Linked DNA regions of Saccharomyces cerevisiae S288C. The gene in region 3 interacts genetically with the main gene of each other region. Each region holds a gene or a part of one and is shown on either strand. Other genes may lie near its edges.

What was found.
Region 1: mutations in WSC3 (region 3) and SMM1 together harm fitness more than expected from each alone (negative genetic interaction), as found in Saccharomyces cerevisiae (one large-scale study listed by BioGRID).
Region 2: mutations in WSC3 (region 3) and SPO74 together harm fitness more than expected from each alone (negative genetic interaction), as found in Saccharomyces cerevisiae (one large-scale study listed by BioGRID).

What each region holds. Positions count from the first base shown.
Region 1 is NC_001146.8:651,795-655,198, reverse strand, and holds SMM1 (tRNA-dihydrouridine(20) synthase (NAD(+))), read right to left. Parts: upstream 1,813-3,404; coding exon 658-1,812; downstream 1-657. Other genes in the region: acetyl-CoA carboxylase ACC1, read left to right, coding at 1-526; YNR014W (uncharacterized protein), read right to left, coding at 2,096-2,734. UniProt on the Saccharomyces cerevisiae protein: Catalyzes the NADPH-dependent synthesis of dihydrouridine, a modified base found in the D-loop of most tRNAs. Specifically modifies U20 in cytoplasmic tRNAs. Also able to mediate dihydrouridylation of some mRNAs, thereby affecting their translation.
Region 2 is NC_001139.9:183,630-187,210, forward strand, and holds SPO74 (Spo74p), read right to left. Parts: upstream 1,766-3,581; coding exon 524-1,765; downstream 1-523. Other genes in the region: RNA-dependent ATPase ROK1, read left to right, coding at 1-455; SUA5 (threonylcarbamoyladenylate synthase), read left to right, coding at 2,430-3,581. UniProt on the Saccharomyces cerevisiae protein: Involved in the pathway that organizes the shaping and sizing of the prospore membrane (PSM) during sporulation. Probable component of a core structural unit of the scaffold that initiates synthesis of the prospore membrane.
Region 3 is NC_001147.6:113,481-117,691, reverse strand, and holds WSC3 (Wsc3p), read left to right. Parts: upstream 1-1,883; coding exon 1,884-3,554; downstream 3,555-4,211. Other genes in the region: NDJ1 (Ndj1p), read left to right, coding at 238-1,296.

The DNA.
Region 1 (3,404 bases), on a different chromosome or scaffold from region 3:
CAACAAGAGTTTGGCTCCAGAAGTACATCAGCAAATATCCAAGCAATTAGCTGATCGTGAGAGAGAACTATTGCCAATTTACGGACAAATCAGTCTTCAATTTGCTGATTTGCACGATAGGTCTTCACGTATGGTGGCCAAGGGTGTTATTTCTAAGGAACTGGAATGGACCGAGGCACGTCGTTTCTTCTTCTGGAGATTGAGAAGAAGATTGAACGAAGAATATTTGATTAAAAGGTTGAGCCATCAGGTAGGCGAAGCATCAAGATTAGAAAAGATCGCAAGAATTAGATCGTGGTACCCTGCTTCAGTGGACCATGAAGATGATAGGCAAGTCGCAACATGGATTGAAGAAAACTACAAAACTTTGGACGATAAACTAAAGGGTTTGAAATTAGAGTCATTCGCTCAAGACTTAGCTAAAAAGATCAGAAGCGACCATGACAATGCTATTGATGGATTATCTGAAGTTATCAAGATGTTATCTACCGATGATAAAGAAAAATTGTTGAAGACTTTGAAATAAACCTTGTAAAGTAAAAAAAAAAAATAGTATTGATGTAATTTAATTTAGTTGCTAATATAAATTAGAAAATACATACATATATATATTATGCGCGTTTTCTTTCATAATCCGTTCTTTTTACTTAGAATATATTATATATCTGTGGGAAGGGGTACAACCTTTTGCTTTTTAGTGTCACTGCCTATGTGATCGGTCTGTTTCCTCTTTTGCTTGGCGATGGCGTTGGCGTTTTTCAAAGCTTTTTCTTGAGCTCTGCAGTTTTCCAAGTACTCTGAAGGATCTGTTTGAGCGCTTCCATCATCGTTCAATTGCTTTAGTACGAAACTAACTTCTTCCGGGCTCTTGCAACGGGCAAAGTACTGAAAAAAGACTGATTTTCCGGGGACAATTCTGCTTAACATGTATTTTGTATTGCCGATGTGGTTGTCAAACTTCGTTGCCCACTGAATAAACTCGCGACAAGCAACGACCCAAGATGGACCGTCTTCTGAAGGCTTAGAAGTGTGATCAAAAACTGTAGGGTCCCGTTCAGCACACTCTGCAATCATACCACCAATGTTAGTGTTTTTCCAATGATTCGCTTGTAAATCATGAAAATGAGAGCGGTCGCGGATAGCGCCGTTCACAATCAACGACACGTTATTTGCCTGGCATATCTCGTAGATCTCCGCAATGTAATCTGTGATGGGCTGCTCTCTGTTTCTCATTTCAGTCTTCCTGCAGTGAACTGTAAGATTTGTGATGCCCGTGGCACACAGACGTTTGACGAGCTGTAGAGTGTCTTGCTTGGTGTCCAAGAGTCTTATTTTCACACTGATGGGTTTGCTGTGAGGGTTACCCACGTTCTTAACCAGTTCTTTCAAGATGAGACACAGTGTGTCTGGGGTGCGCAAGAGGGCAGAGCCCATGCCGGAGTGTATAGAGAAGTGTTTGGGGCAGCCTGCATTGATATCTATCCCGCTGACGTCGTTGATCACTTTCAAAGCAGCCTGGGTGGCCAGAGCCGGGGATGCAGACCCGATCTGGAAAATCAATTTAGAGGATTCTAGTTTTGGATATGTTCTGAAAACGAGCGTCTCCGGCCTCGTTTGAACCTTGGACGGCACGACGTAGTCGACAGTTTGGAGTGCAGTGTTTTCCTTCCTGACGCACTGAATTAGCTTTTTGTCGATGATTTCTGGGGACCAGACGAGATCTGCACCGTGGGCCAGCGCCATCAGTCTCGTGGGCAGTTCGCCGGCTCTTACCATTGGAGCTAGAACCAGTTTTCCAGCATATGTAACCATGATCTCTGTGTGACTGCGCTATTTGGTGTGGCTTGGATGGATGAAATAGCAAAAGTTTTTCAAGACGGTTTTCATTTTTTCTTCGAGCGAAGTGATGAGCAAAGTAGAGGAAATGGAAAGCGGCAAAAAATGCATTGTCGATTTTAGTAATGAATATATAAAACGACGGAAATATATATATACATGGCTGCGTAGACCACGCAGAACTGTATATGTATGTATGTATAGAGGAGGGATGGGAAATGCTGTGTGACGATAGACAGATGGATGGACGAATGGATAACTACGTCTCTAGTCTCTCATACAATGGTTTGTCAAACTTGACGGCGACCGAGTTTCTTCTGTGGTGATGTCTGTTGCAAGGACAAGACGGGTCTGAGTGGTCGTTAGGAGACGCGGATGTTTGCGGCTCCTGTTGGTCACTGATGGGGAACATCATGCTATGCTGGGCGTACGAGACGGACCTTTTCATCTCGGACGACGAGCGATTATCGAAGGAGGGCAGTTGTGGCTCACTGGCCCTTCTTTGAAAGTTTTTGTGATGCGCGCATTGGTGGAAGTCGCTTGCCGGCAATACAGAGTTGCGCCTAGAAGAGGGCAGTAGTGACGGCGAGGTTGGGTCAGAAGTCAAGCACGAGGCTGCGGTGTAGTTACTCTTGAACAATGAGGGCCGCGTAGGGTCTGCTACAACGGGAGCGGAAACATTAAGTACAGTCTCGACGATTTCATTGTCAGTTGATAAAGCAGGCGGTAAGCCGACGGAGCTGCCTCTGGGGGAGCAGGCTTTAGATGTAGCAGAGGAGCAGGAGCTGCTGCTGCTGCTCCTGCTGCTGCTTCTGTCCGCGATCGACTTGTAGTGGAAGGTGATGTGAGCGGAAACAGGGATGTTCACGGCACAAGGCTTGATATCCGTGGACGACATGGAACGTTTATTAGTTATATTTTTCGAGAAAAAATCTGAAACTTGCAGATCATTAGTTTACGCTTCGGATGTACACACACATACCTATATACATATATACATACACATATATATACATTTGTGTGCTCGTATGCGTACTGTTTTGCACTGGGCTGATTCGAGAAAGTCAAAAAGCTTAACTGGCCAGAAAAAGAAATTAAAACGGCACCGAGGGGTCGAAACCTTCCGTTTCTGCGAAGGCCCTTTGTTCTTTTGCTTTTGATCCGAAATGAGGGGCGGCGAGAGGTAAGGGGTAGAGGGGCTGGAACTCTCGCTGATGTTCTGAGCGAGGTGTTCAGGTGGGCCTATCCGCCTTAATCACTCCGGCGTGGGGAAAGAAAGCAGAGAGCGAGCAGAGAGCGAGCAGAGAGTGGGTGATGTCAGAGAACGATAATCCTGATGGGGGGTGGAACTTTATTACCCTACTTGAATTTTTTTATTTTGGTAGGGTAACTTTTATTCCCTTGAAAAAAATACTTCTGGTTACCCGGATCCGTTTTTTTTCGGGGATCCACGTGATGGCTTTTTGATCAGGACTAATTTTAAAACTGAAAAAAAAAAAAAAAAATTGAGTATGTCTTGCATGTATGAAAATTGATAAGTAACTAGGAAAAATGCCGCTCAAAATCTT
Region 2 (3,581 bases), on a different chromosome or scaffold from region 3:
TTATTGAACGATTTAAAACTGGTGAATTATGGTGTTTGATCTGTACCGACGTTTTAGCTCGTGGTATTGACTTCAAAGGTGTCAATCTGGTCATCAATTATGACGTTCCAGGATCGTCTCAGGCTTATGTTCACAGAATTGGTAGAACAGGTAGAGGTGGGCGGTCAGGTAAAGCTATCACATTCTATACTAAACAAGACTCAGTAGCTATTAAACCAATAATAAATGTCATGAAACAAAGTGGTTGTGAAGTATCTGAGTGGATGGATAAAATGGCTAAAATGACCAGAAAGGAGAAAGAAAGTATAAAAAACGGTAAAGCGCATAAAGAAAGAAAGCAGATTACTACTGTGCCTAAGATGGATAAGGCCAAAAGAAGACGTCAACAAGAAATGATTGCAGCATCCAAAAGAAGAAAAAATGAAGAACTTTCAAAAAAACATTTCTCGAAATAATATAAACAAACGTGCGTATGCAAGACATGTATATATGATTAGTAGTTTTTTTTATTTACTTTCATTGATCAATTACGTGACCAGCTATACATTTCTTCATTACTTCTTCTGGGCATTCTATTTAAATCGATATTTCCAAACGACTTTGTCATTGCTGCATAACCCTTTTGATAACTATCGTTTAACCCCACACCTCTGTAAGATTTCGATTCCACTCCATTATGTATATTTCTTCCAGAGTTAAAATGCTGCTTGTAATCTGAATTTTTTCTCTGGAATAGAAGTTCATTTTGATTTTCAAATGACATAAAAGGTTTTGTTTGATGTATATTGTTAGGGTGGAAAAAATAGGGTGTTCCACCAGTTATGGAGTTTTGTAGTTCTGCTTTTTCTCCCCAAAAATTTGATGTATTGGACGTGAAATCATAGGTTTCCTCGAAAGACTTTCCGTTTCTTTTCAATCCTAATGGGGGAGAAGGGCGGTTATCTATTGGCAAAAGTGGATTTCTAAAATCCCTAATGGAAGGTAAATTTTGACTTTCAGGTTGATTGGAGAATCTACGAACTGCTAGCTCTCTATTTAGCAAAGAGTTTTCTTGCATATGAAAGAAGTTTAAATCATTCAAAAGTTCCCCCAAAATTTTGAGCTCATATTCTTCATCCAAGTCAATATCTCTGTATTCCAAGAATTTCTTTTGCATTTGAACTGCGTCGTCAAAAAATGGAACACTTGACAAGCAAATGTCAATCTCTTTTTTAATGTATGTAAGCAAGTTGGTTTTTAGAAAACTCACCTCTAATTGTGTTTTGGTAAACGCTGTTGTGGCAGCTGAATACTCGGTTGGAGCTGAATTTGGCCTCTGTCCCTTGTATGGTGAAGTGGAAATATTCAATTCCATGACCGGTTCCTTTATTTCTTCTAATCCGCTTGTAAAATGAAAGGGCTGCATGTGTTTAGTTTTGTAACCTTCTGTATTACACCAAAAACTTTCCCAATTTTTAAATTGACACTCTTTCAAGCTTGGACTAGAGTCCGGAGCCAGTTTTAAGCCATCATTAAAATCGTCCGTGTGTTCAGATCTTTCGTGTATATCTTTATTTTCATGGAATATGTTGCTTGCAGTCCCCATTTTAGATGACTTTTCTTCATCTTTTTGGGACTTCTGTTTTACTGGACTATTTCTTTTACTTTCCTTACTAGTATTGCCATCTTCTTGAGAATCCATGTTAGGATACGCAGGCAAATCTGAATGGATGTTATTTGGAAAGTTTTCCTTTTCTAATCCATTTAAAAGAGTGCCAGCTCCCATCACTCAACCAATTCAGCTCTTTCCTTGCCAATACAACATAACCGGGAAGAGTTTCAAGTTTGACTTCCAACTAAATACCTAATGTTTTATTGTTGTTATTTATATTTCTTGTGACACAAAAGAGAACATTGATGTCATTTGAGCCTTATCGTTGGAAAGGATAAATAAGCGGTTTAAAAGGATAAAAGAAGCGCAAGCAACAAATCTCAACACAAGTGTAAACCATATGAATGGGGTTAAATGCCTTCTTCTTTGAGATATAAAAAGGAAGTAGAATTTAATATATTAGACATTTTTTTGATTTGAGCCTAAAAAAGATAGCCCTGTAGGGGGCTCGAACCCCTAACCTTATGATTAAGAGTCATACGCGCTACCGATTGCGCCAACAAGGCTATTTCGTTGAAAAATTCAGGCTTCAAAATTATTATATGTATCAAAAATATTTTTTTGAGAAATTTCAAATCATTATCTACGCTAGCCTTACTATTTTTTCACCCAGAAGATAGTAACCTCATCGCACATACCTATTGAAGCTGATAATATTTGAAGCGAGAGCTTTATTCTTCTCCTCAAATTTTTTTTTTCTTCTGCGCTGTTAACTTACCACTAAACCTGTTTCCATTTTTAATGGTAGTCCTGTTTATTATTCCATTTTTAGAATTGTATGTACCTTGGACGACATTTTTTGGCAATGACATCGAAAGCACTGTTTGATACCAAGATCTTAAAAGTTAACCCGCTATCAATCATTTTCTCCCCTGATGCGCATATAGATGGTTCCTTACCAACGATAACAGATCCTGAAACGGAAGCAGCGCTAGTTGAAGCGGCGAGGATAATAAGAGATACAGATGAGACTGTGGCTTTTCCAACCGAAACTGTTTATGGTCTTGGAGGTTCTGCTTTAAATGATAATTCAGTGCTTAGTATATACAGGGCCAAAAATAGGCCTAGTGACAATCCTTTGATTACACATGTTTCATCCATTGATCAACTTAACAGAAAGGTCTTTAATCAACCGCATCTATCAGGTACATCCTTGTTTGATAACATACCCTCAATCTATCGCCCATTAATTTCAAGCCTTTGGCCTGGCCCATTAACAATTCTTTTGCCAGTTCCATCTTCAGAGCATAGTGCATTATCAAAGTTAACGACCGCAGATCAGCCTACGTTTGCGGTACGCATACCCGCTAATCCAGTGGCTAGAGCACTGATTGCCCTGAGCGATACACCAATAGCTGCTCCTTCAGCGAATGCGTCTACTAGGCCATCTCCTACTTTAGCGTCTCATGTTTATCATGATCTAAAGGATAAAATTCCCATAATTCTTGATGGCGGAGCGTGCAAGGTTGGTGTAGAAAGTACTGTTGTTGATGGGTTATGTAATCCTCCTACGCTACTGCGACCTGGCGGTTTTACATATGAAGAAATTGTTAAATTGGGTGGTGAAGCTTGGTCTCTTTGTAAAGTTGAGAATAAGAAAACAGTTGAAAAGGGCGAAAAGGTAAGAACGCCTGGTATGAAGTATAGACACTATTCCCCTTCAGCTAAAGTTGTTTTACTAGTTCCTCATTGCGAAGGCGATGGCATTCTTAAGGGCGTTGATAGGATGGAAAGATTAAAGAGGTTAATCGAAACGGAATTAAAAGCCAACAGTAATATAAAAAAAATTGCGATTTTAACTTCCCTAAAATTACGTGATTCCGACTTACAATCTAAGATCTTTAATGAACCCGATTTTTCTTCGAAAACTTTCATCATCGAAAGACTTGGCCAATCTGGTGAAGAAATACAGACTAACTTGTTTGCAGCT
Region 3 (4,211 bases):
TGGAAAAGTATGCGAATTAAAGTAATCCATGTGGTAAATAAAATCACTAAGACTAGCAACCACGTTTTGTTTTGTAGTTGAGAGTAATAGTTACAAATGGAAGATATATATCCGTTTCGTACTCAGTGACGTACCGGGCGTAGAAGTTGGGCGGCTATTTTGACAGATATATCAAAAATATTGTCATGAACTATACCATATACAACTTAGGATAAAAATACAGGTAGAAAAACTATAATGAGTAAGGATAATAGGTTAGCAAGTATTTTGCTGCAGCCTGTAGCATCATCCTCTGGAAATTGTACTGAATTCCATGACTCAAAGTTGCATACTCTGCAAGAGGAACTTAATTTCTTGCCACTAGAAGGAGTTGCGTCGAATGTTTGCCCGCCGATGTTTAGAGGTCATAAGAACTACGTGTTTGTGTTATATTGTTTGAATCAAGTCGATCTCGTTACGAATTTGCAGGATTCTACAAAACGTTACTACCCACTGCAAATATTTAAAGATTGTCAATTGAGTTCTTTGGTTCAGAAGGATTTTTCACACTATTTCCAACTCAGCAGGCAAAAGGAAGGGGAAGATCGGAACGATAGTGATACCACCTTGGTTAATGTCGTCAATTCTGGAGTATCCCGCCATAGAAGTCAATTACTAAAGATGTGTATTATACCTAGAATTTGTTCCTTTGACAAATCCAACTCCAAAACCTACAAGCTAATTCAGGAATATGTTAATCGCTTTGAAACCGTTTTAACAAAATTTGGCCCAGAAAAAGATTTCACCAAAGTTTACGCTAACTGGTCAAAACTCATTGAGTCGTTTAATGAGCTTATTTTACATGACCTGTTGGTGAAATGGCAACAATGGTCTGAATTAACTCAGCCAAATGCCACGGTCCATCAGAACATTCCGAATGTTCTCAGGGAACTCGTAATAAAATTAACACAAAGGTACTTTACATTCCAACCTTCATACAGTTGTTCGATTGATGAATTCACAACAATTTTACTTAATAAAAATGCTTTGAGTCTCTTGGACGTTTTCAGAAAACCCAGAAAATATAAACTGAATTTTGGTTTATGGCTAGATTGTCAAAACGGTATTTTAATTTTTACAAATGGTATTGTGCAGATGGCAGATGAAATTACAAGTGAGAGGGTGAAATCCTTTGTCAGGCCAGCACATCTCTTGGTATTGGAAGACCATTCAAATGATGAAGCAGTCAAGAAACTAATGTTTTTCACTTTTTCAGCGATATTACAATGCTTTACAGATGAGATTCTGAATTGTTAAAACGGGCTATCCATATTACATCTGAACCAAAAAAAACTTTTCTTTGCTGTTTACTTTAAATCTTGCTTAATGTGAAGATTTTTTTCTGTTTGCCCTTTCACTAGGAGATTTTTAACCTAATTTTACCAGCCGATTCGTTAGTAGGAATGCATTTTTCCAAAATCAGGAATTTTTACGTCATCCCGCTCTCCTTTGAGATCCGGGCAAACTTCTTATTTTAGCCACTCGAGAATTTTTTTCTTTATTATAAAAAAAGTAATTATGCCTCCGCACTAATCTTAAAAAGCTTTTTAACGTAAGTGGTATACTGCAGACCAGGACCATTGTTTTACTTCATTGCCTGAAATAGTATCTAGGTTAGATATTGATTTTTCTTACACTTCAATAAAACAATTGCATTCGTTATACATTTTTTTCTTTCCAAACATTTGCTATAAAAAATTTTTTGATCCCTCGCCATACTAATTTTCTATTGTTCCTCGAAATTAGTGATAATCCTCGAGAAATATTTGGTGAGCTATTTTCTTTGTGCATTATATGAAATTCATGTCCGTATAGTTTGTTTTTTTAGCAGAAGACAATATAAAATGGAAAGAGTATGGTTTGCAAAATTAACAAATAAAGGAACTATTAAAATCGGGTATATCTCATTTATACTTCTAAGTTTGCTATGTCAATCTCTGATTGGGCTGGTTAATGCTGATTTTAATTATGAAGGCTGTTACAGTGCCGCGGATATCCAGTCTGCTGGACTGTCTCTGAAAAACTCATACATATATCAATCAGTGTCATACTGTCAAAACCAGTGCCCTGAGTCAGCAGTAGTAGCATTATTTAACGGGTCAGATTGTTACTGCGGTAATTCGGTAAGTTTTCTGACTTCTTTGACGAAATCAACAGATTCAAACTGTGGAACTAAATGCTCTGGCTGGCCTTACCAAATGTGTGGAGGGTCATCGTACATGAACGTGTATGTAAATGCTGAAACTTTTGTTTCATCGGTTGAATCTTCCTCTTCCAAAGAAGGGTCTAGCACTTCCTATATGCCCTCAACAACTTCTTCATTGTCCTCCGCCCAAATTTCTTCAACTACTAGGAGAACGTCAACAGATATGAAAAGTTCTGAAATGATAGCCACGACAGTTTCTACCACTTCAACAACCTCTTCCTCGACTTCCTCTACTACCTCTTCTACCACCTCTTCTACCACCTCTTCTACCACCTCTTCTACTACCTCTTCCTCGACTTCCTCTACTACCTCTTCTACCACCTCTTCTACCACCTCTTCTACCACCTCTTCTACCACCTCTTCTACTACCTCTTCTACTACCTCCTCTACTACCTCCTCTACTACCTCTATCTTTTCTGTTACGTCTAGCTCCTCATCCATTACATTGTCCTCATCTGAGCATACCACAGTCGATAGCCGTACTTCTTCACCCTCTTCCACCTTGGTGCCAGTGTCCTCGAGTAGCAGCACACTATCAACTCCAAAAGTGACCTCAATGACCCCTAGTACGTCATCAACGATACCAATAGTTACCTCAGTGGAACTAGTGACTAGTGTGGTTACAAAAGCGATCGTGAGTACTTCTGATCAACATCAGGAAACAATATTTGTTACGAGGACATCCGTGGTTGAACGATCTTCTGAGGTAGCTACTGCTACTGCTGCCGCCTCAAATAATAGATCTAATTCGACTTCGAAGCAGCGTCTGAGTGGTGGAGCCATTGCCGGTATTGTTATTGGTGTTGTGTTTGGCGTAATTTTTATTATTTTGATTCTATTGTTCCTGATATGGAGGAGACGGAAATCGCACGACCAATTAGACTTGGAGGAAACGAAACATTATCAGCCCTATTCGTTCGGTGATGAGGATGCAAATCCAATAGGACCGCCTCCCTCCTCTGGTACGACAAATTGGATGAGACATTCAAGGGGTAATACAGCGGGTTCTATCGGTACAAGTAATATGTATGGTTTTTCTATGAGTAATGGTGCAAATTATAGTAGTCCTAGTTCAAACACCAGTGGAAGCATCATAAACAACTTGGCTGGCTTACAAGATGCTACGGTTCAGAAACAGAACCTTCCATCGACAGTTTTTGAAGAGGCAAATACTTTGAATAGTGCAAATGAAAGGTTCAGTGCCAATTCTTTACCCGACATGATGATGAGCGGACCATTGCAAGTGGTAAACCCTGATAATCCTGATAATCCTGAATTATCTAGTACCGTATCTCATAATCGAGCCTGAAAAACTCGCATAAACTCTCAACATTAATGGTAATCAACTGGTTCTGCTGGACGGAGCCATTCTAAATCATTAACTTTATAATATCATGTTTTATACCCTAATATTTAAACAATTTACTGCTTTTGGCACTTCAACTGTTAGAAAAAGAACAATAATATTTAGTATTTAGTTTCATTTTTAAATTTTCTGATTCACTTCATTTGCAGCTTCTAATGATGTTTGTGGTACAAAAATATAAACAATTTTAAAATATTAAAAAAAAATGCTTCCAATCGGATTTGAACCGATGATCTCCACATTACTAGTGTGGCGCCTTACCAACTTGGCCATAGAAGCTAAATCTCTGAAAGCTGCGCTCTTCAAAGGCGAACCAAGCAAGATAAATTAATATTATTATGTAAAACTATCGTTTTCCTTTTGTTGATTCCTATATCCCGGAGAAGAACTACTAATTATCAAATTATTCACCAAATGATCAAATTTAGCAGCGTAGTGAGTGCCACTATGTAGATGTTGGAATAAAAACCAACTATCGTCTATCAACTAGTAGTCATACTATCAATATATTATCATATACGGTGTTAGATAGTGACATAAGTTATTATAGAAGCTGTCACCGAAGTTAGAGGAAGCTGAAATGCAAGGATCGATAATGTA